Cricetulus griseus: one gene and its partners. The protein of the gene in region 2 interacts with the protein of the main gene of each other region in a biochemical or structural test. Links are inferred from orthologs where the notes say so. Each region holds a gene or a part of one and is shown on either strand. Other genes may lie near its edges.

What was found.
Region 1: the proteins of Dok1 (region 2) and Rasa1 form a complex in vitro, tested with the Homo sapiens proteins (2 studies listed by BioGRID, with this or other methods). The link is inferred for Cricetulus griseus from reciprocal best matches to the Homo sapiens genes DOK1 and RASA1.
Region 3: of the proteins of Dok1 (region 2) and Tec, one has a biochemical effect on the other in vitro, tested with the Homo sapiens proteins (2 studies listed by BioGRID, with this or other methods). The link is inferred for Cricetulus griseus from reciprocal best matches to the Homo sapiens genes DOK1 and TEC.
Region 4: the proteins of Dok1 (region 2) and Abl1 form a complex in vitro, tested with the Homo sapiens proteins (5 studies listed by BioGRID, with this or other methods). The link is inferred for Cricetulus griseus from reciprocal best matches to the Homo sapiens genes DOK1 and ABL1.
Region 5: the proteins of Dok1 (region 2) and Crkl form a complex in vitro, tested with the Homo sapiens proteins (2 studies listed by BioGRID, with this or other methods). The link is inferred for Cricetulus griseus from reciprocal best matches to the Homo sapiens genes DOK1 and CRKL.
Region 6: the proteins of Dok1 (region 2) and Fgr form a complex in vitro, tested with the Homo sapiens proteins (2 studies listed by BioGRID, with this or other methods). The link is inferred for Cricetulus griseus from reciprocal best matches to the Homo sapiens genes DOK1 and FGR.
Region 7: of the proteins of Dok1 (region 2) and Lyn, one has a biochemical effect on the other in vitro, tested with the Homo sapiens proteins (2 studies listed by BioGRID, with this or other methods). The link is inferred for Cricetulus griseus from reciprocal best matches to the Homo sapiens genes DOK1 and LYN.

The regions. Positions count from the first base shown.
Region 1 is NC_048595.1:305,211,905-305,215,404, forward strand, and holds part of Rasa1 (ras GTPase-activating protein 1), read right to left. Parts: intron 2,210-3,500; coding exon 2,052-2,209; intron 1,709-2,051; coding exon 1,632-1,708; intron 559-1,631; coding exon 386-558; intron 1-385. UniProt on the Homo sapiens protein: Inhibitory regulator of the Ras-cyclic AMP pathway. Stimulates the GTPase of normal but not oncogenic Ras p21; this stimulation may be further increased in the presence of NCK1.
Region 2 is NC_048601.1:74,204,847-74,208,904, reverse strand, and holds Dok1 (docking protein 1), read left to right. Parts: upstream 1-1,258; 5' UTR 1,259-1,335; coding exon 1,336-1,395; intron 1,396-1,709; coding exon 1,710-2,003; intron 2,004-2,180; coding exon 2,181-2,274; intron 2,275-2,393; coding exon 2,394-2,578; intron 2,579-2,747; coding exon 2,748-3,557; 3' UTR 3,558-3,859; downstream 3,860-4,058. UniProt on the Homo sapiens protein: DOK proteins are enzymatically inert adaptor or scaffolding proteins. They provide a docking platform for the assembly of multimolecular signaling complexes. DOK1 appears to be a negative regulator of the insulin signaling pathway.
Region 3 is NW_023276807.1:139,339,377-139,343,597, forward strand, and holds the start of Tec (tyrosine-protein kinase Tec), read right to left. Parts: upstream 2,801-4,221; 5' UTR 2,762-2,800; coding exon 2,624-2,761; intron 1-2,623.
Region 4 is NC_048599.1:143,412,014-143,416,015, reverse strand, and holds the start of Abl1 (tyrosine-protein kinase ABL1), read right to left. Parts: upstream 2,801-4,002; 5' UTR 1,511-2,800; coding exon 1,375-1,510; intron 1-1,374. UniProt on the Homo sapiens protein: Non-receptor tyrosine-protein kinase that plays a role in many key processes linked to cell growth and survival such as cytoskeleton remodeling in response to extracellular stimuli, cell motility and adhesion, receptor endocytosis, autophagy, DNA damage response and apoptosis.
Region 5 is NC_048597.1:71,867,896-71,872,068, reverse strand, and holds the start of Crkl (crk-like protein), read left to right. Parts: upstream 1-1,373; 5' UTR 1,374-1,809; coding exon 1,810-2,120; intron 2,121-4,173. UniProt on the Homo sapiens protein: May mediate the transduction of intracellular signals.
Region 6 is NC_048595.1:20,267,237-20,270,736, forward strand, and holds part of Fgr (tyrosine-protein kinase Fgr), read right to left. Parts: intron 2,020-3,500; coding exon 1,916-2,019; intron 1,748-1,915; coding exon 1,598-1,747; intron 1-1,597. UniProt on the Homo sapiens protein: Non-receptor tyrosine-protein kinase that transmits signals from cell surface receptors devoid of kinase activity and contributes to the regulation of immune responses, including neutrophil, monocyte, macrophage and mast cell functions, cytoskeleton remodeling in response to extracellular stimuli, phagocytosis, cell adhesion and migration.
Region 7 is NC_048595.1:156,324,208-156,327,707, forward strand, and holds part of Lyn (tyrosine-protein kinase Lyn), read right to left. Parts: coding exon 3,469-3,500; intron 973-3,468; coding exon 841-972; intron 1-840. UniProt on the Homo sapiens protein: Non-receptor tyrosine-protein kinase that transmits signals from cell surface receptors and plays an important role in the regulation of innate and adaptive immune responses, hematopoiesis, responses to growth factors and cytokines, integrin signaling, but also responses to DNA damage and genotoxic agents.

The DNA of each region.
Region 1 (3,500 bases), on a different chromosome or scaffold from region 2:
ATTATGTATCATTGGACACCAATGGGATGATGAAAGAATACCATCTACTGAATGCAATAGTTAATAATGGAGTAAGTTTGTAGCCTATATATTTCTAGCCTTATAGGATCAAAATCACACTACATGTTTTTTTTACCTCTGGCTACTAGCATGCTACTAATCTAGGACGCTACTATTTAGCTTTATGGATTCTTATTAAATAGTTAACATTTGTGTTGGTGGTGCACGCCTTTAATCCCAGAACTTGGGAGGCAGAGGCAGGCGGATCTCTGTAAGAGGCCAGCCTGGTCTACAGAGTAAGTTCCAGGACAACCTCCAAAGCAACAACAGAGAAACCCTGTCTCGAAAACAAGCAAAAAAATAACATTTATATTTAATGTAATACCTCTTTAAATTCACTGTACTCTTCTTCTGGCATGATTTTTTCCATAGAGTATCGTGCTCGAACACGCAGGGATCCTGGTTCAATGCCCTTTAGTGGTATATGGGAGCTGAGAAGAAACCATTCATCTGTGGCATGTCCTTTTTGTAACCTGCTCAACTGGCAACGCATAAATACTACAAAAGAAAAACCACTATGTTCATACAATTACATTTTCTCAATACAGTTTTCTATGGTGTTAAAAGCTTTTCATTAACCAAGTTTCAATAACATCACAAAACACTTAACTGGTTTGGTTATTTTTTTCATTTACTAGACCTGCTACATTACATTCTGTCATAGGCTGGGGATCTGGAGTTAAGAAATGATTAAGACATGGTGTCTGACGTGCATGGAGAATGTCTTAAGCTGTCAAAGAGGATGCAGTGTAAGTGCTACAACCCTGGATAATACAAAGATACATTAAAAATCAATTCCAAAAAAGGAACCTGTGAATTGATTAGGTAGGTAGGTAAAAAAGGTAGAGCAATAAAGACCACAATCCAAATAGAAAGTATGGCTTTCTTTCTGTTCTAAAAAACTGGGATTTTTATCATACAAGTATTGGAAAAACACTTAAAAATATAAGCAATTACAGAATAAACATTTTTTTCAGAGAGCTTCAGGTTTTGATTTGTCAGTACATATCACTGCTTACCCCAAAAGCCTCAGTTGTAAGAAGGCATTAACCTAATTCACCATGATAAAAATCACTAAATCCCACTGCCATCTGTCCTACCAACAGGACAAGAAGTGTGCTTCTCAGAATAGGAACAGAGTATTGGATATTACAACAGAAAAAAAATAGCACAGCTAAACATCCTATCTTTTTAATTTGCAGGGCTGGGGATTAGTCTCCAGGCCACTACATACCAGACAAATACTCTACCATGGAGCTACATCTCTAGTCTGAATGGAACCTTTAATATTTGAAGTGTAGGAAATTAGGGGAAGATAAAAAAGGAAAGAGAACGAAAAATGATCACCACTACCAGTTTCTTCTCCTATTCTTTGGGAGAAGGGAAAGTAGATTTGTATATTTCAAATTATAAGGTTTATAGTACATATACTTTAATAGTCTCCTCTGAACAGTCAATAGTAGACTGCACAGCATGTTTTTCATCTCCATCTTAAGACATTTCATTTATAAATTCTAAAAATACACACAACATGCTTTCATTACTTTAGAAAGCTTTTTTAATCAACTTACAGATATCTGGATCTTTGCTTTTCTTTGTTTTATTACTGAGTGTGATTTCAAATCTATTGATATCAGGAGGAAGATCACTAAAGAAAGAAGGAAAAAAATTAGTTAAAAATTTAGTGTGTTACATTTAATACCAGCTTTATATAACCAGTTAGACAAGAATACTTGATAACTACATTTCCCCAGTAATCTTAAACTTCTTAAGCCACTAATAACCAATTAAAACAAGATCTAGAAAATATAGAACACATTTTGTCAATACTTTTCAGTAATCCAAAGGCATTTTATTAATAAAGATGAGCAAACCCAACAAAAAATACTATTAAAACACCTGACAAACAGGATCTTAGGTAATTTATATGTAAACAGCAGGAGGAAATATGACTCTAAAAAATAGATTGAATATGATAAAATATGACTTACTCAAAGACAAACTCCTCTGACCATACTGGGTTTTGCCCCTCCCTTGCATGAGTTTTTGCTACTTGGACGCTATTCAAGTAGATGTTACAATATGGATTAGTAAAGTGTTTTACTGGGAGTTTGTGGGCTTCTTCAATATGTAAAACAAGGCTGCTGACCTAAAGAGAACACAGAAATTCATAACCAACCTTTCAAGACCTGTATATAAACAAAAATAGTGATTTGTTTCTTAGTATTTCAAAAAACAAACTTTGCTAATCACCTGTCACCATCCATTTCAAAACTCCAAATATCAATGTATGCTTATGAAGATTTTACTACTCTAAAGGAGTACAGGCTAAGATGTTCTTAAGACACTGATTTTATGATCTGTTGCTACAGAAAAGACACATTCTGAGAAACTAATGTATTACCAGTATAGGTGCTAGAACTATCCATCTACTTCCTACTTCCAACAAACAAGTCAGTATCTGATCCTTGCTTTTCTTTCATGTAAAATGTAGAAGACTACATGCTGTGTAAAGGATTGGCAACCATCCTTAAACCCACTGCAGATTAACGGACGTATCAAAGAGGCTCAAGATGTGTTATATGTGTACAAAGATATGTGACAACTTCTATTTATTAAATGTGTGTGTATTACATGTCCTTGCAACAAAGACCAGAATTTATGTTACGGATAGTATGTAGTTACCTAAGAACGACTGTTTTTACACTTCCAGTTAAATACAACAAGCTTACTGAAATATCCATTAATAGGGGTCATTTTGCTCCATAAATATACAATGTCTTAACTTTCTTCAAAATTCGAACCATATTAGAGCTCAACTACATCCAATTATCTAGGGATAATTTTAATGCAACAAAAGATGTGATGGCCAATAAATAAGGGATAAGTCAGTTGTGGTGGTTCACACTTGTTATCCTAGCATTCAGGACACTGGTGCAGGAGGATTACTGAAAGTCTGAACTCAGCCTAGGCTACAGACAACTCCTATCTCTAACAATAAAAACGATTTTAAAAATGTCATAATGCAGTATATATATACATAAAGCAACCTAGATTAACTTCCTATTAACAAAAGTATACACAAGGTTTAGATTTTAATAAGATTGGCTAGTTCCTAAAAATTGTGTATTCAGTCTCAAAAATAAACAGGATACTCCTGTGAATTTGATTAACTCTTCAGAAGTACATTTCATTCTACCTATTTTTCCAAGCAAGAACTCAATACACAAAATAAGTTTCTTTTACTGCTTTTGAATTGTAAGCAGAAAAACAATCTATTTTTTTTCAAGTTGGCACAGTAGACTAGGAAGCAGAGTACAAATATAAAGAACTCTTTCACAAAGCAATCTACTATCAAGTCAAGCAAGGGTATAAAATGCTTGAAAGACTAAGTTTTTCTAGTTTTAAGAAACGTTGACAAAACAGCATGTATAGAAAAA
Region 2 (4,058 bases):
CCGGCGGGCGCTCCAGGAGAGTTAGGTTCAAGCTGGGCAGGGTTTGGTGTGGAGTTGTCGGAGCTTCCTGTAACACTACTGTTTCTGTCACCGGGCAACCACAAGCTAGGCTGGCTTCTTAGCTCAGGCCTTCTCTACCCAAGCCTGAAAACAGCCCTCCACAGCAAGGGGGCCCCCAGAATTGCTTCCCCTAACTCAGACAAGACAGCTTTGTTCTGGGGGCATTTGGCTTGGAAGCCCTGGTGTTCGGGTTAGGGCCTCCCAACTGCGCCCTGAAGCTTCCATCCCCACTATCTGCTCAGCTCTCCACTCTCGTGTTTCCGCTCCTTTAGCAATAATGTAACTGTCAGTTGGTTGGCTTCCCCGACTCCATCCCAAATCAACTTTCCCTCTGGTCCACCATCCTCTCCATCCCCAACTCCTCTTTCTCTTGGCCGGCAGTGACTCCCCTACCTTCTTCGCCTAGGCAGAGCTCCAGAGGCTGGAAGCGGAGTCCTGGTCCTGGAGATTAGTTTTAGGACTTCCCAAAAAAAAAAAAAAAAAAAAAAATTCTTCGGCCAGGGGAGACTGGACCCCCCCTTCCTCCCCCCTCTTCGTTGGTCCCTCCCACGTCCCCTAGAGCCTCCCACATTCCACTTTCTCCCTCCATTCCAAGCCAGGCCAGTCCCCTTCCTCTAGATCTTCCCTCCCCCGTGGAGCTGCTGCAGCCGTCCCCCCCCAGCCCCCCCCCCCACTACCCCGCCCTTCTGCCGGCTCAATGAAGCTTTCTTTTCCCGCAGGTTGGAGGCCGGGTAGCCGCTGTCAGGATGCTGGACTTGTAAACGGTTTCGTGATCGGCCCCTGCGGCGGCGGGAAACTTGCCAGCCTCTAGTTGTTCCTCCACATCCCCAGTTAGGCAGAGTATCAACAGTCCAGTTCAACTCCAGGATTGGGCCATGGGAGCAGGTCCCACAAGAGGAATTAATGTCCCGAGGACCCCCCTTGGTGGTTGTAGTGCCCCCGGGGTGCCTGCGGGAGACGTCACGGCCTTCACTCTGATGTCACGCTAAGCATATGACGCCACTCTCAGCCCCCCACCTCCCAGGCACCAGGGCCTTCTAGTTGACAATCACGGCTTCCCTGAGTGGCACCACTGTGCGAACGAACGGTAGGATAAAAGGCCCCAGTCGGCTTATCTGGGTACCCCGACTTCTTCCTGCTGGCTCCTCTTCCTCCATCCCCCATCGTTGCCGCAGGGGCCCAGGAGGGGCGGGCACGCCTCCGGCACCCTGCAGCCCCGCCCCGCCCCGCCCCCCGCCCTCGGGGCCAGGAAGCTGGGAAGGAACCGCCGGGGCCATGGACGGGGCTGTGATGGAGGGTCCGCTCTTTCTACAGAGTCAGCGCTTCGGGACCAAGGTAGTGTGAGTGGGTTTGTGTGCGGCGTGGGGGATGGCGAAACCCCTCCGGACTAGAAGTGGGTGAAAGCAGCCAGAAAGAGGAAAGGGGCCGGAAGCAGGTCGGGACGCTGCTCCGGCAATTGCAGAGCCCCATGAAGTTCCCTTGAAGCCCCACGCTGTGCCCTTCTTGGGGAGGAGTTGGGATGATGGCATTATCTTTGGGAAAGTGTCCCTGCCTGGGAAGCCCCAGACTCAGATCGGCCTGCGTGTGTTTCTCCTTCCCCGTGGGGGCGTGCTGCCGCGAACTCCCGCGTCTTTCATTTTTTCCCCCAGAGGTGGAGGAAAACCTGGGCTGTGCTCTACCCAGCTAGTCCTCACGGCGTAGCGCGTCTGGAGTTCTTTGACCACAAGGGCTCTGGAGGGGGTCGAGGCGGCTCTCGCCGTCTGGACTGCAAGATGATCCGCTTGGCTGAGTGTGTGAGCGTGGCCCCTGTGTCAGTGGAGAGTCCCCCCGAACCCGGCGCCACTGCCTTCCGCCTGGACACCGCGCAGCGCTCGCACCTGCTGGCGGCGGACGCCCCGTCCAGCGCCGCCTGGGTGCAGAGTTTATGCAGAAACGCTTTTCCGGTGAGGGGTTGGGGGTGAGCGGCCCTGGGCCTAAGGAGCATTACGAGAATGGGGCTTATTAGAGCGGCACTGGACCTCCTGCACCTACTCCAGACCCAAGGGAAATATATATATATATTTGGAGTCTGTCAGCTTGGCTTTTTATATATATATATATATGTGTTCCTTTTCCTGCAGAAAGGCGGCTGGGCTTTGGCGCAGACGGAGAACCCGCCTAAGTTTTCTGCCTTGGAGATGCTGGAGAATTCCCTGTATAGCCCCACCTGGGAAGGTAGCTGCCTGGCATGAATGGAGTGGGGAGAAGACGTGGTCTTGGGAGCTAGCGATTGGAGGCTACCAAGTCCCTAACCTGCCCCAGCGCTCCTTCCCCTTTCTGTGTGTTCCTTCCAGGCTCCCAGTTCTGGGTAACCACGCAGAAGACTGAGGCTTCTGAACGCTGTGGCCTGCAAGGCTCCTATATACTGAGGGTGGAGGCTGAGAAGCTGACCCTCCTGACTTTGGGGACCCAGAGTCAAATCCTGGAGCCACTCCTTTTCTGGCCCTACACTCTGTTGCGACGCTATGGCCGGGACAAGGTGCAGGGGCTGTCTGGGAGGATGACTGTCAGGGAGGACTTCGGGTTGGCTAGCTGTAGATGATCAATTCCATTCCCAGGTGGTCTCTTCTCCTCAGATACACTAACTTGGTAAGATCTGTGACTCATCTTTTATGACACTCCTAACATGTTTCCCTCCACACCCTCAGGTAATGTTCTCTTTTGAAGCTGGTCGCCGCTGCCCCTCAGGCGCCGGAACCTTCACTTTCCAGACTACACAGGGAAATGACATCTTTCAGGCAGTTGAGGCTGCCATCCAGAAGCAGAAAGCCCAGGGAAAGGTGGGACAGGCACAAGATATCCTCAGAACTGAGTCCCATGAAGGGGAGGCAGAGGTGAAGGTGACTTCCCCTCCTGCTCCTCAGGAGCCCCTGGACAGCCCCCCAGCCCTATATGCTGAGCCTTTAGACTCCTTGCGAATTCCCCCAGGCCCTTCTCAGGACTCTCTGTACTCAGACCCTCTGGGTAGCACCCCTGCTAGGGCAGGGGAGGGGATGCATTCGAAGAAACCTCTCTATTGGGACTTGTATGGGCACGTGCAGCAGCGGTTGCTGAAAGCCAAGCTGACAGACTCCAAAGAGGACCCCATCTATGATGAACCCGAGGGCCTGGCCCCAGCCCCTCCCCGGGGCCTTTATGATCTGCCGCAGGAACCTAAGGATGCATGGTGGTGCCAGGCTCGGCTGAAGGAGGAGGGCTATGAGCTCCCATACAACCCTGCTACAGATGACTATGCTGTGCCACCTCCGCGAAACTCCAAGCCTGTCCCTGCTCCCAAGCCGCAGGGCTTGGTCCTTCCTGAACCTGGTACCACAGGAGGCAGTGGCAGCAAAGACCACAGCTCAGATATGGCTCTGTACAGCCAGGTCCAGAAGAGTGGGACGTCAGGGGGTTGGGACTGTGGGTTTTCTAGAGTAGGGAATGACAGGACAGGAGTCAAGTCAGAGGGCTCCACCTGAGACAGTTGCTGATAGTTTCATGGGGCCGTGGCATTGACAATCAAATCTGTTATAACCAGCAGGAACCAGAGGGTGGGAGGTGCCTAGGTTAAGACTAGGGGACCAGAGGCATCAAGGGATGACCAGCTCGAGAACTGAGTGATATAGGCTCTGGGACTAGACCTATGGAAGGGGCCTACTAGTCAGAGTGGAGGCACTTTGGGGAGGCCAGTGTGGCTCCTTACTTTTGTATTGTTCTTTGCTAGATGTATTTTTAATTTATAAGACAAATTTCATTAAAGCCAGTTTGGTTTGAAAAAGTCTCTGTGTGTGAATAGACACAGTGGCGGCATGTCCTGGGAGGGCGTGAGGGGATCAAAAGAAAAACCAGAGATATGTTGGGGACCAAGGAAGGAGGAAAGGGCCCCAGAGAGGAAAGTCTACAGTGTGGTGGCTCAGGGCCTGGGTGGTCACAGGCTCACCTGGGAAGGTCTATAGCTCTGTGACCCTGGGTCAGCTGTC
Region 3 (4,221 bases), on a different chromosome or scaffold from region 2:
ACTGAAGCAACAGACAGCCTCTTCCCCAGATTTCATTTGAAAACAGAAGAGCTACGGATAATTTAAATGTCTCTAGAGATTCCAATGGTTTTCACAGCCCAAGTCTAGAATCTGACTTTCTAACTCAACATTCTCGGTGATTCCCCAGCTCACTATGCTTTTTGAGATGTGATTCTAAGAATAGAGACAAAAAAGCAGAAGGTTCATCCACTGCAAACAGGCACTGGACACATGCCCCCAAACAGGGAAGTAACTCCGGTGTGAGGTGTTTCCTGGATTTTCTAGAAAATGGGCTGAGAGGTGCCACACGGAAGTCTTCCCAGTATTGTTAATGGTTATTCCAAGAATTCTGATTCTTATCTTCAAATTCCAAATAATTCAATTTAGGCAATTATTTGTTTATCTAGAGATGGGGATCTAGTCAATGGCTTGGTACATGCTAAGCACATACTAGACACACACTCTAGCATCTGGCTACATCCCTACCCCTGGCAACTATTTACTGTGAGAGGCAACAAATCTGTGATCAGCTCAAGCAGCAAGTCACTAATGAATGCCAGTCCATCCGAGACAACAGAAATCACAAGAAAGTAAAATGACACCCCATTTTAGAAGGGCTCCACTGTCTTTTCATTCTGCTTAATCTATTAGGGCACTTGTAACTTTTCACAGTTAACCTTCCATATCTGCAGGTTCTGAGTCAACAGAATCAACAAACCCCAGGAAATATTTGGAGGGAAAATTGCATCTGTTTGAACATATACAGATTTTTCTCATGTCATTTCCTAAGGGATATAGAATGAGTATTTTTTATAGCATCAATATTGTATCTGGTATTATAAGCAATACATGGGTAATTTAAAATACACAAGAGGATTGCACAGGCTACATGCAAATACTGCACTATTTTATGCAATAGATTTGAGTTCATGAGGTGGTGGTGAGGGGAAACAGTGCCCTCACAGACATCAAGGGCCAACTGTATACTAACATCTTGAGAGTGAGTTGACCATTGTGTTGTACTTTCTCTTTATGTGGATGGTGTTTTGCTTGTATGTCTGTGTGCACCTCATACATGCCAGAACAGGGCATCAAACCCCCTGTAACTAGGGTAACTGCTGGCTGTGAGCATTAGTGCGGACACAGAGCATCAAACACGGGTTCTCTGAAAGCACTGCCAGTGCTCTTAACCACTGAGTCATCTGTCTGGCCTTGCTGTGTTGTATTTTAATAGTACCAGTCCATATTTCTAAGTTGACATGTCAGTTTCTGCAGTTTGGGGTTAGGAGAGTGCTGCCTTTTACCACTCTCACTGCTGTATCCTATTTTTCTCCTGGACTAACTATATTAAATTCCACTTACATCAAATCACTGCCATACAGCAAAAACTTACTCATGTTTCCCTCCAAATCTGTTAGCAATTTTAAAATAATCCTCATATTGGTAACAATTCTTATCTGAAACCCCACTGGATTTCTCAACTTCTTGGATAACAAAGAAAACGCAGCACCATGGGACAAAGGTAGCCAACATAACTAGTCACATTAACAGTTCTGGGCACACATTCAAAGTGAATAAACTAAAGAGTGAGCATGGGCTCACCTCAGCTCTAGTTTTACAAGTAGAATTCCTGAAGCTTTGGTTTTCAGCATTTGGGGGAGTGGTTAGAGTTAAAGGAATATGGTTCTACGGTTTGTGAACCTGAAGCACAGCACAGGCCATGACAATACAGCACAGTAGAAACAACAGCTGAGATTGCGCAGGAAAAGTAATGCCATTCTGTATAAATGAAGGGAACCAAAATACAGAATAAGAAACAACAGCAAAACATTAAGTCAACATCTGAGAAAACCACCCAAGAATAGGCACAATTGAGCCCAAATACCAGGACCACCAGGCAGTCACCATAATGACATTTGCTATCGAATGTTGTCAAGAGAAATTAGTCCCCAGCCATTCTCTACAACCCAAAATTATTTCTAGCATACAGGACTATGGCAGTAGTAGAAAATACCATATCCACCATGGCAAGATTTTAAATTGGGCCAGGGATAGCCACTCATTCACATTCATTGTGGAAAGCTAGAAGCTGCCTAACCAAAACCCCTTCCTTCCTCACTGTACCTAACATCCCACAGCAGGAGCTCACTGGATGCTGCTTCTTTAATCTCCCTGCCCCCAGCAAAGAACATGGGAGTAGACACTTAGCATCAAGAGTTCAAGAATTCCTCTGTAATCAACTTCAATAGATGCTTCACCAAATAACTCATCATCTTCAAGTAATGAAGAAACGTTCACACAAAACTTAGGCTTTGATACATAATATGGTGGCTTGTGGGAGAAAGCCATGTGCTCAGTATACCAATAAATTCTATAAGGACCTAAAACAAACAGGAATGTATTTTCTCTGACAGATTAATTAGTTCAGGAGCCTGACACCAAATGGATAGCTATATATCTGAACCTATAATGACAGACTTGTGTGGAGTTCTATCACATGCTAAATTTCACCTTTCAAGTCCAAATGGCAACAAACGGTAACCTCAAGTTCATTCGCTCAGTGGAGAGCATTGCCTACTCAATGTTGTCAACACTAAATGTGGCAGAGAAGATTGTCTCCTACCTCCGCTCGACCCTCATAGTAGGTTAGCACAGATTTGGTAAGAACAAAAAGTCTTTCTTTGTAGTTTAGTGGTGATGTCTTCTTTTTCTGCTGGGACCTTTTAATAAGAATCTCTTCTAGGATAGTGTTAAAATTCATCTCGGTCTTCTGGTCGCTCTTTCTCCTGCCATTGAAGATCCCAGTTTCTAAAGTTAGAAAATAAATGGTGAGAATATGGCTCTAATTTTCTAATGCTGTTGAAATTTTAAATTACAAATATAGACCCTCCTCACCCTCCAGCCAGGATAGTCTTAAGTGTCCAGACTGGGGTGACCAAGGCCCAAAGTTTTTCTTCTCTTAGCTCAGCCTCCATCCTGCCCAGCCCTTTCCCAGGAAACCCTAATGAAGATTTCCCATGATGGTGATGATACATGTCTTTGTCTCTTCCAGTATCCCTTAGCTCTCCAACACATTCTGCTATTTGACTTCGGAGAACAAGTAACTCAGATGGCAAAGTGCATTCCACTGCCTGTATTTTTCATTTAGGCCTCAAGATCTTAGGAACTGAAACACATGACCACACAGCATAACTGATTTGAACAATGAATAAGCATGGTAGTGGATACAATTCACACTCTGACTCAGTAAGAATGTCATCTTGATCTGGTATCAGAGTGGTGTCAAAAGGAAGCTGTTGCTACAGCAATGCCCCTTGGTAACTACATTACTATGCTCCATACATGGCTCCTATCCAGACCTCAAGAGAAAAGAAGCCCACCCAGTCAGAGTTACAAAGTCAAGGCTAACCCTTCTTGGGACAGCCTACCTAGATACAAAGATCCTTGATCCTGTACCTAGAGCCTTAAAACTAGAGTTGGCAAGATGGCTCAATGGGTAAAGGTGCCTCCAAACCTGATGACCTGAGTTCACTCCCCAGAACCCCCCCCCCCAAAAAAAGTGGAAAGAGGAGAAACAACTCCTGTAATTTGTCATCTGACCACCACGGTATACAGAAATAAAGGAATGCAGAGAGGAAGGGAGAAAGAGAGGGGAGGGGCCGGGTGGGGGAGGGAATGGAGTGGAAGGGAAGGAGGTAGGGGAGGCTTTAGGAAGGAAGAAAGGAAAGAAGGAGGGAGGGAGAGAGAGAGGAAGAGAGGGAGGGAGGGAGGGAGGAAAGGAAGGAAGGAAGGAAGGAAGGAAGGAAGGAAGGAAGGAAGGAAGGAAGGAAGGAAGGATTCAGCCATTTGAGAACCTAAAGGTACCCAGAAGAGGTCTGCGGATTCTTCCCTGAGGCAAGCTGAATTAGGGTAGATTTCCTTCCCTTGCCTCCTCCATGCCCTTTCAAGAACTAATTGCATATCAAACCACAGAAAAAAAAGGAGTCTCCTGAAGTACATTCAGCAGCTACTTGATATTGTCGCCAGTGAATGGATACTGAGCTACTAAGGAATTCCATCATGCCTTCTTCCAACCTGATAACTTTAGTGCTCTACTATAACTATTCCCTCTTCACAATGACATCAGCCACTTTGGCTCTTCTGACTTTTATGAGCATTTATTCAACAGCATAACCTCTAAACATCCACCCCTTCATTCAGAAGGTACGGTGGGGAATACTA
Region 4 (4,002 bases), on a different chromosome or scaffold from region 2:
TGCTCTTACAGAGGACCCAGGTTCAATTCCCAGTATCTACACTGTGGCTCATGACCATCTGTAACTCCAGTTCCAGGGGATCCAACATCCTCTCCTGACCTCTGTAGGTATCAGGCACGAACATGGTGCACATACACACACCCAGGCAAAATACTGACACACATAAAACAAACTAAACCTTAAAAAAAGAAAACTTCAATTATCAAATATAAGTTCACCCAAAAGCAGCCATTGTTTATAGTAGTCACCTATTGTTAAAACGTATTTATGACTGAATTTCAAAGTATACGAGGCATTTGCATAGGCTACACTTGCTTATATGGCATGATGGTTCAATTGGTATTTTGATATTAAGTATACAGTTTGAAAAATGACACTGCCACAGTACAACCAGGACGGTAATTTACTAGCTCCTGGATGGCCTCTGCAACACGTTAGTCTAACCTGACCTTAACTATTAGCCAACAACAAGACATGTACTGTCAGCCTTATGAACAAATTAGGTTCATAAAAATGTCAAAGCCAACTAAGCAGGAAGAGATGAGGGTGAAGAAAGCTCCATCAATGAGGACAGGGTTATTCCTTAAAGTAACAGAACAGTCCTCAGTTCAGGGGCACACTGTTTCCACACTCAACTTTCCCTACCTTGCTCCAAAGTGAGAATTTTCAAGTCCTGCTTATAATTGAGAAAATCAAAAGATAGCATCAATTAGGTTCTATTAGAACCTTTCAATACACAAATCACTTTGAGGATACGATACAAGTGCTCCATAGACGGGCAGTAAAAAAAAAAAATCCATGCTTACCAGGTGGTGGTGGCACACACCTTTAGCCCCAGCACTCAGAAGCAGAGGCAGGCAGATCTCTGTGAGTTCAAGGCCAGCCTGGTCTACAAAGTGTGTTCCAGGATGGCCAGGGCTGTTACAATGGGAAACCCTGTCTTGAAAAACCACCAACCCCCCCCCCAAAAAAAAACAAACAAACAAACAAAAAAACCAAAAAACAAAAACAAAAAAAACCATGCATAACAGTAGACTCCCAACTTTTAGCGAGAGCAGATGGGAAGAACTATGAATACTTCAAAAGCACCTAAGTCCCCTCCCCTCCCTCACGAATGCAGGCCCCCAAACAGTAAAAGGACTTGTCCCATGTCAACAATGAACCTGAAGTGGGATGTGGCTAGAAACAGCAACTCAAGCAGACTGAATAGTCATAATTTTCTTATGCAAAGAACTGCTCCACCAGAAAAAGAAACTAGTAACTACAGTAGCAAAAACGCTAAGCAGATACAGCAGGAACCGACACAAGCATTGTTTCATAAAGTCCTTTGATGTTTAAGGAAAAACAATGATCAGAAACCTGGAAAGCACTCACCATGTTCCACGAACACGTTGCAGTGTGGACCCCCATGCCGCGATGAGTCCCTCTTCCCTGCCCCTTTGATAAAATGAAGGGCAGGCAAACTAGGCCTTCTTTGGTCCCCAAGAACTTTTCCAGGCTGCTGCCCCATAAAGCAATGATAAGCACCCCTTTCCAGAAGAGGGTTTAAGATCTTCCAGAATGGTCCCCTCAGTAGGAAACAGAATGTACCCAGAACTTCACAACACTGACTCCACGGCAGTAACTGGGGTCAGTCACAGAAAGTCAACTTCCATGAGAAAGGGAAACTGGATTTGAGGTTCACACATGTAAACAGGAGTCTGGAATTCTTTTCCAAGTTAATTAATTTGAAGTCATGTCATCGCAACGCTACCCAAAAGCTTCTTGACTCCGTCTATTTTGCGGATTGAGGAACGTTTCTTTGCAAGGGGCGAATTTTAGATAGAAATATTCATTGGGGAGTCTGAAAAGGGTCAACAGTACTAAAAGTCATTTCAACTCCCCAGCATGCTGGAGACGTTGAACGTCTTTGACGCTTCTCTGCAACTTTTCCTGTGGAAGTCACCAATCCCCTATCTGTCTCTCTCTCCAACAAATTTCCTGCCGCTCTCTTCCCTATCCTGTTCTCCGGAAAATGACTCGGGTCACACAGATCTCAACCAGAGCTTGCTCTCCACACTGTCGAAAAGGAATGCATGGCCAGCAACTTTTTTAAGTCCGCTTTTTAAAAGGCCTGTGAAACCAATCCAGACTTTTTCTTTGCATTAAAGTTTTGGGCTGCACTGAGACCAATGGGGCTGTAGGTGACATTGGAAGAAGTCAGGACATCGGAGGCCGGCGGAAGCAATCTGGGAGGACCGTGGAGATCTCTTGACAGCAGAGAGATTTGAATGAGGGGCTCCGTGGTCAAACTTGGGGTGGGAATCGAGCGAAGGGCGGCCTCGGGGTGAGACAGAGACTTCCCCAGGTGGGGCGCGGGCGGCTTACTCGGGGGCGACGTTCCTCCTCGCCTCAGGAAACTGAGTGTCCCAGGTAGGTTGAAACTGAGACCACCCTGGGTGTCCCAGAGCCAGAGCAGAGCTGTGAGGGACGAAGGTCTCCCGCGGTCCCGAAACGGGAGGCGGCCACGGGAGGAGGCCCGGCGCCTCAGCTGCGCCGAGCCAGGGGTCTACCCGAGACACCCCTCCCCCGGCCCCGGACTCTGCCGCCGCCGCCGCCAAGCAGTCACATCCCCGGCTCTGCCGAGGGACCGGGCTTCTTCAGCCAGAGGGGGGTGTGCCGCGGAAGGGCTCCTCAAACGCAGGACGCTGCAACCGGCTCCGGCTCCAGCGCCTCTCAGGGATAGACACCGACCCCCGAGGCCGCCATGATGGATTACGAGCCGCACCACAACGAGGCCAGGCCCCGCCCCCCGACCCCGCCCCCAACGACGCCAGAACACCCTGCGCGAGGTCGGCCTGGCCGCCGCCGCCGCTGTCCTACGTGCCGCAGCACTTTCGGGGTCTCGCCTCACTGCCCGCGACAGGCCGGCTCCGCACGACCTCTTAAAGATAGGTTTTCTGAGCTCAAGGTGAGCGATGAGGAAGCGCCCGCCTCCTCTGCATTATCACTGGTCTTCCTACGACTGGAGTCTGTCCCCTCACCGCCGTCCAATTGGCCAGTGAGGACGAGAGGGGCCAGCTAATTGTGTTTGGTGCTGCCGCAGTGCATGTTGGGACTTGTGGTCCTGGCGCCCATGGGCTGCTCGCTGAGGCCCCAGCCTCCAGCTCCTATAGCTAGAGAGCTGGTCCCGCCTCCTGGGAGCCGGTGGACTCCGGTCAGCCAACGTCTTCACTGCTTGAGTAGCAAGACCGCGGGAGATTCAGAGCCAGGGGAAAACTATGGATTGGAGTTTTCCAGAACCGGAGTTGGATTACTTCTTTGAGCCTCGTTAGGGGAGAAACTTTTGGTTCGCTCCTAGATACCAACGTGACCGGTTCGTTACATCCTCATCACTCGGGAAAGGCATAAATATGGGAATCTGTGAAGAAGAACTGAGGAAGCAAGCAAGCATCGACGATTCTTTGTGATAGGAAGAAGTCGAAGAAACATTGTTCAGAGTATGCCAGGCGTGATCGTGCATTCGTGCACGTTTGCACTAGTATGAATCCTTACCATGATAGTCCACAGTGAGACATACATTCCCGTAAAATTCGAAGTTAGGCGAAAATTGTCCAGGTTATCCGATCTCAAAAGCCTGTGAAACTACCCCACACCTGTGAAAGTTCATCCTCTGCCCCGCCCCCCACCCCCAGTCTTCACTGTTCCTGAACCTATTTCTTACTTTTTGGGTTTTCGAGACATGTTTTTTCTGTATTGCCCTGGCTGTCCTGGAATTCACTCTGTAGACCAGGCTAGCCTCAACCTCAGAGATCCACCTGCCTCTGCCTTCCAAAAGAGTGCTGGAATTAAAGGCGTGTGCCACCACCTGCTGGGCACCTGGACCTATTTCTCATAGCACTTACAATCTGAACTTTTATATAAAATGCTTTACCCCAATCTTTTCACCCATCAAGGTATGAATAAAATACTGTTCCCACTACACAGGTGGAAAAGCATTCATAGACGTGATTGAAGTGTCAG
Region 5 (4,173 bases), on a different chromosome or scaffold from region 2:
ACCTTGACATTTGCTTATTTGTTACTGGGATGGAATCACCTATTACCCCACAATCTAAGATTTGCTGAACATGGGAAATACAAATGGCCAGAATGAAATTTCACTGACAGAAATCTAAGTAGTGTTTGCTCCTCCTGTCTTTCTCTTTTGAGACCTCCCCCTTTTCTAATTTCCTATTTTAGGCTGGGTCTTATAAAGCTCAGCTGTCCTTAAATTCATAATCTTCCTGCCTCTACCTCCCCAGTGTTGGGCTTAGTGGTGTGTGCCATCACCCCTGGCATGGGATTATACCTTTCTGTTCATCCAATTTGGAAATGCTATGATCAATAACCTGCCATCAGTGTCTTGGTGATTTTTCACAATAGTCATTCATTTAACAAGTGTCTGATCATTCATTCAAGACCAGACATGGTATTAAGGTAGGCAAAACAAAGGTGTTTTATTAAAATTTGATCATAGCCAGGCAGTGGTGGGCAGGTGTGTACCTGTAATCCCAGCACTCAAGAGGCAGAGGCAGGAAGAGTTCCCGGTCAGCCTGGTCTTGGGAGTGAGTTCCAGGACAGCCAGGGCTACACAGAGAAACTCTGTCTTGAGTATCTCACCCTAAAATAAAAAAGATTGATCCTAGTGGGGGTGGAAGAAATATGTTGGGAGGGCACGGCTGGAGTTGAGCAACGTGGAATGGCAGGAAGCAAACTGGAACTGTTGTAGAACAACGACCTACAGCAGGCAAGACATTCAAGTCAGACACAGAGGTGTTGCATTTCAGAGCCTGTAGTGGCCTGGTTGTCACCAGACTGTGGCCCTCCTAAAGCATTAGTTCCACGTGTGCCAAGTCGGATCACCTAGGGCAGGAGTTATTCAGTAACCCATTTGATGGTCACCTCACCCTGGGTCATGCCTTTCCTAAGCCACCTGATTTATCAGGGCCCTGTGGCTCGCAGTCACCTGAGGGCCACGCCTCCCTGGCCAGACAAGCCAGCACGTTACGCTTTGTTCCCAGAAACAGGTTTTCATAACGCTGTTCCCTCTCGGCTCCGGCTGTTTTCTCGCCAAGTGCGGAACTCCCGGGGGCGGCGGCGGCGGCAGCAGCAGCAGCAGTTGCCTGACTGCGGCTCTGTGGCCCAGGAAGGGCCTGACCCACGGCCTCCTCAGCCTCCTCCCGGAACGCGGGAGCCAGCACGAGTGGCTCACGGAGGGGACCCTCGCGAACGCACTCCTGATTGGCTGCGCCGAGAGACGTCAAAGGGCGGGCCCCGTGGCGGGGGTAGCGCCCGGCTCCGCGCGTGCGCAGAGAGAGTGAGCTGGACCAAGGGGGAGGTGCCCGGCCGCTTCTCCCGCGTCCGCCATTTTGTTGCTGTGGCTATTGGGAACGGGCTGGGTGAAACGGCCTGGGAGGCGCGACTCTTGCTGGAGAAGGCTGCTTCGTGTGACGGCGAGGGTCGGTGCGGGCTCTTGACGCTGCGGAGCCGGCGGGTTCCAGGACAGAAGTCGCTGGAGCCATTCCTGGGCGCCGGGCAGCTGAGAAGCCCGAGGCGGCCTCTGCTACCGCTCGGCTTCGCCCACCTCGACCCCAGGGCTTTGCCCAGTGTTCCCGGGCTTGCTCTTCCCGTGAGGCGGCCCGGTGCAGGCGGGCGGTGGCGGAGGATGCTGCGGGGCCCGGAGCCGAGAGGAAGGTCCTGACCCAGCCCTCTGATTGCTCCTCGAGGTCTTCCGAGAGGCCCTTCCTCGGCCCCAAAGCCGACAGCGGGTAAAGGCTTCACGAGCAGGCGAGAGCAGCAGACGCCGCCCATCCCCGGACCCAACACCATGTCGTCCGCCAGGTTTGATTCTGCAGACCGCTCTGCCTGGTACATGGGGCCAGTGTCTCGCCAGGAGGCTCAGACCCGTCTCCAGGGCCAGCGCCATGGCATGTTCCTAGTCCGGGACTCCTCTACCTGCCCCGGGGACTATGTACTGTCCGTGTCCGAGAACTCGCGTGTCTCGCACTACATCATCAACTCCCTGCCCAACCGCCGCTTTAAGATCGGGGACCAGGAGTTTGATCATTTGCCGGCCTTGCTGGAGTTCTACAAGATCCACTACCTGGATACGACCACCTTAATCGAACCAGCGCCCAGGTACGCGAGCTCCTGCTGCCCTGCTCGGGCTGGGAACCAGACCCGATGCGGAGGGTCGGTCAGAGATTTAATTTTGGGGGTGGAGGGAGGAGTTGAATTGCTTTCCCTCATTCTAAACCAGAAGGAAGACATCGGATTGGAAGGCCAGTGTCAGGATCTGGGTCACTGGATGAAAGGATGCATTTTTATTTAGACATTTAGTGGTGATTGTATTGTTCAAATGCACCCACCGACACACATACACAGTTTTGTCACTTTAGCTGACTAATACTAATGCATAATTATTATTGTTATTATTATTTATTTTACTTGTTTGGTTTTTCGAGACATGGTTTCACTGTGAAATAATCTTGGCTGCCTTGGAACTCATTCTGTAGACCAGGCTGGCCTCGAACTGCCTCCCGAATGCTGAGTCTAAATGTGTGCGCCACCACCGTCTGGCTGCAGAATTCTTTTAACATTAAAAAGTATATAGACGTCCTTGAGATTCTGAAGCTAGCCATGGCTCTCTCCTCGAAAATTCTTGTAGTTTACACACCATTTAAGGTTTTAGAACCCCCTGCATCTCAACAGCTAACTGCAGGTTAAGAACTGGCTTGCAGCCTTTGGAAAATCGTTAAAATGAACCGAAATCGTAGGAATTTCAGAATCTGATGCGCAATTTGAAGTAGCCCCCCCCTTTAAAAAAAAAAAAACTAGAATTTCAAAGGAAAAAGACTGAGATTATATTTGAGGAAATTTGTACCATCTCTCCCTGGTGGGAAGTATATTTATCTTAATTCTACATTAATTCAGTTTTAGATTTTTGGGGGGTGGGAATTAAATTTAGTGGTTTAACATATACTTTAAAGAAACTGAAGTAGAGCTGCGTGAGAGAGATGCACACCCCTAACCGCCTAAGGAAAAGAGGACCTTGAGTTCCAAGCTTAATTGCGCTATAGCAACAACAAGAAAGTAGACTTCAAAAAGTATTTCACTGCCTGGTATATTTCTAAGCCATTTTCTAAAAAGGTCTGGGGATTGAGTTAGACTTCTCAGGGTGAGCTGACTTCATAGAATTGCTAATGAGGTAATTTGCTCTGAACTTTGAAGATGAAAAGGTACTATACTTAATTAAGGATACCTACTAAAAGTAAAAGGGTTTCTTTTTTAGGATAGAAGAAGTAAAGCTGTGATGGTACAAGGAGTGTAAAGTTAACTGGCAAAATCAATGGAGTTTAAAAAACTGTAGTGAAGGGGCTAGGCTTGATGACTTAGTGAATGAAAGTTGTTTGCAACAAAAGCTTGATGACCTCAGTTTGATTCCCCCAAACCCACATAAATGTGGAAGGAGAGTCCTTTCTTTAGCCTCAGTGTGTGTCCCATGGCAAGTGAGTATCCACACACACATCAATAATTTAAAAAAAAAAAAAGTAAAACACAGAGAAAGTGACTGTAAATAGTAATCTATGTTATGGAGATGAGGACACTGAGAATTCTGAAACATGAGGGTCCTAGTAGCTGGTGGCAGGTGCTGTCAACTTTAATAATTTTGGATAGCTTGGACAAACTTAGGAAGTATAATGTTTGGTAAAGCCAGGCGGTGGTGGCGCATGCCTTTAATCCTAGCACTCCTGGTCTACAAGAGCTAGTTCCAGGACATCCTCCAAAGCAACAGAGAAACCCTGTCTCGAAAAATAAAAAACAAAACAAACAAAAAATAATAATAATGTTTGGTAATATATTTGAGTAAATTTCTTCTCTCCTTTGTGAAAGTGGATTATATTATTGACCTCAGGCCTTTATTAGAACATGCTTGCAACAATGTAACAGGTGTTGGAGAAAGTCTAAGTTAATTATTAGATTCCCCTCAAGGAGGAAAAGTGTGCTGGAGTGGCTTCCTGTTACCTACAAAATCTAATTCTATTAAGTGTGTCTTCTCAGGTACCAATTTTCTGTGTTACCAATGTAATTTCCTGAAATTTTTCTTAGCTCTGCTTGACACACATTCGTATCTTTTGTTTTGTTTTGTTTTGATTTTCAAGACAGGGTTTCTCTGTGTAGCTCTGGAGCC
Region 6 (3,500 bases), on a different chromosome or scaffold from region 2:
TTCCAGCACTCAGTAGGTTGAGGAAGGAGGCTTGTAATGAGTTTGGTGCCAGCCTAGGTTACAGAGTAAAAACAAAACAAAAACAAACAAACAAAAAACAAACAGAACAAAAGTAGTTTGCCTTCACAAGCCAGGATTTAAAAAAAAAAAAAATTTTTTTTTTTTGAGTAACTAATACATAGTTTAGGTCACAGTTAAGGAAGAAGGCAATTCAGGCCTCTGAGTAGGCAAACTTGTTGGTGTCCAAGGAAGAGGATGGCATAGAGAAGTTGAAACGATCCCCATGGAAACTTCATGGCTCTTCCTAGGAGGCAGCCTCCAGCAGGGCCTTTCAGGATAAGCACTGGTTCTGACTGACAGGCGAAAATGGAGGCAAAACTGTGGACCTGCAGCCCTTTCTTCATGGACCTCATCCTGGGCCTAAGGGCTCAAGATGGAAACATAGGCAATGATGTGGCCTGGTCTCCATACTTGGGTTTTAGACCTGAGTGGAGCACCATTGCTTAATCCCACAGCCAGGCCTCCATCTGGTCAGGTCTACGCTGCCGCCTGTTCTGCTTGTCTGTGCAGTCACTGCTTCCATCTGGCCACTACCATTGCCTGGTCAATGACCACAGCAGCCCAGGGACCTCTCCTTCCGCCTTGTCCCTGGCATCCAGAGAATCTCAAAGTTCAGACCACCTTCTGCAATCCACTGCTTGGAGCAGTTGTTCTCAACCTATGGGTTACAACCCCTTTTCGTTCCCAACCTGTATCTCAACCCCTTTGGAGGGGGGGGGGGTTGAGCCATAACTTCACAGAAGTTGCATCCTACATATCAGACATCCTACATATCAGATATTTACATTACAATTCATAGTAGCAAACTTACAGTTATGAAGTAGCAACAAAAATAATTTTATGGTTGGGGGGGTCATCACAACATGAGGAACTGTATTAAAGGGCCCCAGCATTAGGACAGGTGAGAACCATTGGCTTAGAGCCTATGATGGTGACTCTGCCTAGGAAATACAACAGGGCCAGCAAGGACGCTGAGCAGATAAAGGTTTGATCTCTGAGAACCATATGGTGGAAGGAAAGGACGAGCTTCTGTAAGTTGTCCTTTGACTTCCACACAGCATCCAGAGAGAGAGAGAGAGAGAACAACAAAGACCCCCACAAAGTTTCCATAGACTGGAGCCAGCAAGATGGCTCATCAGGCAAGTGGCTAAGGCCAAACCTGATGACCTGAGTTTCATCCCCAGGACCCACTTGGTTGAAAGAGAGAACAAAGTTCCACAAGTTGTCCTCTGACTTCCACACCCACACTCTGGCATGCATCCAGTCATGAACCCTTCCCACAAGTAAATAAAATGTAACTTTTTAAAAAGTTCCCACCGGCTTAGATCTGGAAGCAAGGACCTAGCCTTGAACATTAGGAGGCACTGCTTTGTCTTTGCCACTTGTGGCCTCAGTTCCCTCAGGATCTACACGGAGCAGGATCCTGGCCTGGAGACATGCACACTTGGTCCAGCCAGTACTGCTTTGGGAGATCACTTCATCCTCTAGGGGTTAGTATCTCCATCATGACAACACACCGTCTCCTGGAGTAGCTCACCCATGTAGTGCCGCACCAGGTCCTGCACGGATTCGAACTGGGCCCGTGTAGTGATGTAGTAGCCACCGGTATCCAGCTTTCGGATCTTATAATGCTTTATGTGGTCACCTCTGTTCTGGTCCCAGTCACGGATGGACAGGGAGTAGGCACCTGTGTGGGAAGGGTCACTTAGTCCTCCTGTCCCTCAGACTAAGAGCAGGAAGAGGCACCAAAGGCAAATTCCCAGAGCCTACTTTAGCTTTGCCCCTTAGCCGGGACCCAAGCACTGCCCCACTGGCCAGAATGGCAGATGGCATGAAGTAACTACTAAAAATGCACCTTTGGTTGTTTCACTCTCCCGAATGAGGAAGGCCCCCTGAGGGTTGCCAGCTGAGAGAAGCTGCCTCTCTGCATCCTTCCTGCTGATCTTTCCAAAGTACCACCTGTGAGGAGAGGCAGGCAGAGTCAGGCACATTCTCTTCAAACCCCAGTCCATCTTCCTGGGAAGTCATCTCACAAGCCTCAATTTCCTGACCTGAGAAATGGGCTGTTACAGTCTGCGTGATGGTATAAGGACCACAGAGAAGGGAGATGAGAAAGTGGCTGACACACGCAGGAGATGCCTAAAAAGACCACCATCCTCTTTTCTAACCACTGGCGTCTCTTGAATTAAAATTAAAACAACAAGGTCTAGGCCAGTCAGGGCTACGTAGTGAGACCCTACCTTAAAAATAAAAATGTGTGTAATCCCAGCACTCAGGAGGCACAGGCAGGCAGATGTTCCAAACCAGCCAAGGTTACATAGTGAGACCCTGTCTCAAACAACCAAATTGGTAAAACCTCGTCATCAATGACCTCATAGTTACTGCCACAGGGTCCTTAACTCATCCCACTAGAACTCTTCACAACCCAGTTTACAGAGGAGGCACTCAAGGCTCAGAAGGGAACTGACTTACCCACCAGGCGAGCTGACATGGACCACCTAAAGTCCTCACCCACCCTAGTTCTTTCCCGCCACACCCAATCCCCTGATTCTTCCCCCATTGATGTTTCCTGTGACTGAACTGTAGCTCAGACCCAACTGTGCAAGTTCATGGGGGTATGTGCCTGAAGTGACCACACATGCTGTAGAAGATTCCGCTGTCATCTCACTGATGGCTAAAGTGACTGTGCCACATGGGCTCAATAGAAGGAACACAGCTTTCAAATTGAGGGGGATGGAAACACCTGGGAACTCTGGCATGCTCAGTCTGTACCTGGCTACTAGGCAAATCTGGGAGACAGGAAGAGCTCTTGGCAAATGGTGTGCCTAGGAGGGCAGACAGCAAGAAGGAGAAAAGACTGAAGGACTCTGTAGCAGACTCACGGCCAGAGTTTTCCAAAGCCACCTCCACCCCCAGCCATGACATTATTAACTTCCTTAAGGGTCAACTAAGTAGGTCAGCACTGAGGAGGCTGAGATCCTGAGTGTGAGGCAGCTTGAGCTACATAGCAAGACCTGCTTCAAAATAAAAAACAGACTTTAAATAGGCTGGGCACTCTTTCTGTGGTGGACATGGACCCTACACATACATGTACTTCCTAATAATGTTCAGAGGAATGTGCCATGTTTCAGCTCATAAGACAGAGAAGGAAATTGAACCAACTACTTAGTAGTTAAGCAACTTGCCGGAGGCCATACTGTGACTCCAAAACAGGAACCCAATTGTCTACTCTCAATCATGACATGGCACCGAGCACTTTGGATGTCAGCATGCTGCCCAAGCTGTGGACAACAGGACGTACCCCAACCCCCGGTCCTTGGCATCGTCGCCCATTATCCGTTCCTCCTTCATGCTTCCTGCCACTCTCTCCACAATATGGCCTCATCCCGCTTATGCACTGGACTTGCCCGTGTCCCTCTGCTCAAGAAATCCCACCTCAC
Region 7 (3,500 bases), on a different chromosome or scaffold from region 2:
GGATACCCTTCTCACAGGAACCAGTGCTTGTTCTTGAAGGCCCACATTAGTCACCAGGAGAGTTTTCAGGAAGTGAGGCCATCCCTTCTGCTTAGCTCATTCTGCATGAGCCTGCTTGCTCTTCTGCTTTCCACTTTGCATTGAAGCCACTTGGCAGAAAGCTCCTGAGGCCAAAGTGTTGAATCCCCAGGGACTGGAATTATGGGTAGTTGTGAGCTGCCATGTAGGTACTGGTAATCAAACCCAGGCCCTCTGGAAGAGCAGTCAGTGCTTTTAACTGCTGAGCTACCTCTCTAGCTACTAAAAAAATGTTATTCACACAGTTTTGACTGACTGAAAGACACTAAAGGGAAACTGGGAATTTGAGAAGGCCCTTTACAGACTCTGGAGGAGGGCAGGCCAGGCAGAAGCGGGCACAAGGGAATGCAGGTGTGGATACTGAACAATGTCTTCAGTGGCATCCCGAGTTAAGACCAGAAGAGTCCTTCCCGAAAACAGACCTACCACCCTGTTCATCACCTCAGTTCTCACAACACGCAGAAGACGTTGAAGACCCTGGTTCTTTGTACATTCTGCTGCATCTGGAGCCCTGCCTTGGAGGAGATGCAACAAGTGTCTAATGTGCCTCATTTAAGCACCCAAGGTAGTGCCAGGTGCAGTCAAGATTGTAAGTGGTGGATTTGGTGAAGGAATCGTAAGATAAAGACCAAGAAGCATGACCCCAAGCTCTGTTGGAGGCATGGATTGGGTAGATAGCACTATTTTGCTTTGTAAATGTCTTCAAACTGCTTAGTTCTTCCTTCACACAGAACACTTGAGTGGGGAGTAGGCAAGCGATACCTGGGTAAGGAATTTTCCCATAGGTGACGATTTCATACAGGAGAATTCCAAAGGACCACACATCAGACTTGATAGTGAAGCAGCCAAAGTTGATGGCCTCTGGAGCCGTCCACTTGATAGGGAACTTAGCACCTGGGGAGGGAGACACAGACTCTTACTCAGAGCTCAAGATAGAAGGTCATGGATCATTCTCTCCTCTGGGTTTTTGGAAATTCAAGTTATTGTTTGGAATAGATAAGACACACACACAATCAGAATGGACGTGGTATCAAATGTCATTCAAATATATTTACTTCCCTATCATGTTTCCCTTTGGACCCTCCCTTCCTTAGAAGCACAGTTTCTTCTGAAACCCCTAGGGGACACTGTAACTGGCCTAAGTTCAAACTCAAAAGGACATGGCATACAATGTAAAGACCAGTGTGTATGTTTGCCTTTCAAACCAGACTCTTTAGCACTGACATTCAGTGTAGATATTTTATTCAGAGTCAAGCATGCTGATGTGCACCTTAGTCTCAGCAGAGGCAGAAGGATCTCTTGATTCTAGGAGTTTAAAACCAACCTGGACAGAAAAGCAGGACCCCATCTCAAAACACCAAACCAAACAAACATAACAAAATGTCCCCACCAACCTTTCCCCACAAAACATTTCAGATTTTTTTCTTTAATGAGTTCACTCTATGTTTGCATGGATGTATCTTTTATTTCATTTAAATTTACCTATTTAATTTTTAGTGCTGGGTATCAGACACACTCAACACTGAACTATACCCACAGATATATATATGTACCATATGTGTCATATATTTTATATGTGTCAATGTGTATTCTTTTGTTCACAAATAATTTTAAGCTTGTGCCCAGGCAATCACAGGTGCTGCTCCAAATGTCATGATCCCTTCTTCCATTGACAAATCATATTAGATGGTTAGAAAGGAGCATGGTTATCTACTTAGAATGAGACAGTGATGGAGTGAGGTTCCTGAGTTGCTGGTGAGGCTGAGGGATCAGGAACATGCAGATTTAGCTAGGGAAACACAAGGTCCCTTGAGGAAAGCAAGACCTGGCACAGATGCCAGCATCAGGGAACTGCTAGGGGTTCATAGCCATCACTTGAAAACATCACTTGTCTGCACTATGTCTTTGCATGAGGTTTCTTCTGCAGTGTCTTACTAAAACTGGAAGTTCCGCCAGGTGGTGGTGGTGCATGCCTTTAATCCCAGCACTTGGGAGGCAGAGGCAAGAGGATCTCTGTGAGTTCGAGACCAGCCTGGTCTACAAGAGATAGTTCCAGACAGCCTCCAAAACAATACAGATAAACCCTGTCTTGACAAACAAAAACTAACAAACAAAAAAACCCACCCAAAAACTGGAAGTTCCTATAAGAACAGTGAAGAGAGTTGTGTGACACCTGTGTGTGTTGGGCAGCATCACTAATTCCTGCATCATCCCTTGACAAACTGGAGCAGTGGTGCATGATGGGAGGGAAGGGAGATGCTAGGACCATCTCTGGGTTACTGCTTTCTCTTTGGTATAATCCTAACAAAGTTCCATACTGTCTTTGTGCCCTGTGTGTAATCCAGAACCGAAGATCAGTATGCCAATGACATATGGCAGAAGATTTATTTTTCAAAAACTCAGTGCTTGTTGGTGTCAACAAAACCAGTAGAATAAATTTTCTCTCGTATACTTTGAGGCTGGATTCCCTGGTTTGAATCCCAGCTCGTCTCCTTACAGAGGGGTCTCTGGGGCTGCAGAACCTTTGAGGTCCTTCATCTGTGGTCTGCAGCACAGAATGTGTTACAAATATCACTGCAGGTCAGAGAAGCACAGTACTTTGTAACTGAGGGAGGAAATTTGCCTTACAGGGTAAACAAAGAATCCTAATTTTGACAAATTTAGTTTTGTTTTACTTTGGTTAACTGAAATAGAAGGCTGGGAGTGTGGTACACATACCAGCACTTGGGAGGCTGAGGCAGAAAGATTTATAGTTTGAGGCCAGCCTGGGTTACACAAGATCCCGCTACAAATCAATGGTAGAACACTTGTCTTGTAAGCCTGAGACCCTAGTTCATTAATCCCAAGTACCAAAAAGTAAAACAGACAAACACCTCCCTTGTCTCAAAACAATGAAGAAGAAGAAAGATGCTACTGTTTATGACCTTGTTAAAGTGTTAAGTGTCATTAGCCAAGAGAGAGCTCCTTAAGAAGTAAGCTACAATTGTGGCACATCATGAATATTGTACCTAATAAGTAGTTTTCAAAATGATGATTTTTTTTGTTAAATTTACCTTTAAAAAAAGCTGAAATGAGACAGTAAGACAATAATTTAAAATGTTCTTATTATGTAGTTTTTTTTTTTTTTAGTTCTTTGCATAGTCTAGATATTAACCCTCTGTCAGATATGTAGGTAGTAGATTTTCTCCCATCGCTAGACCATCTGATCATACATGTATGGGTTAGAGAGCAAGACCTTGAAAGCGAAAACAAGGTGGTCAGTGGCAACAGAGGGAACACTTGGTGGGATGGGGGGTGAGAAAGGGGAAGGCATCAGGCATGGGGGTGAAAGGTGCTGAAAGTACACTATACACTTGCAAAGAAATGGCCTGTATGACCCAGTATCCATACCTTCTCTCGCTGTGTACTCATTATCTTCGATT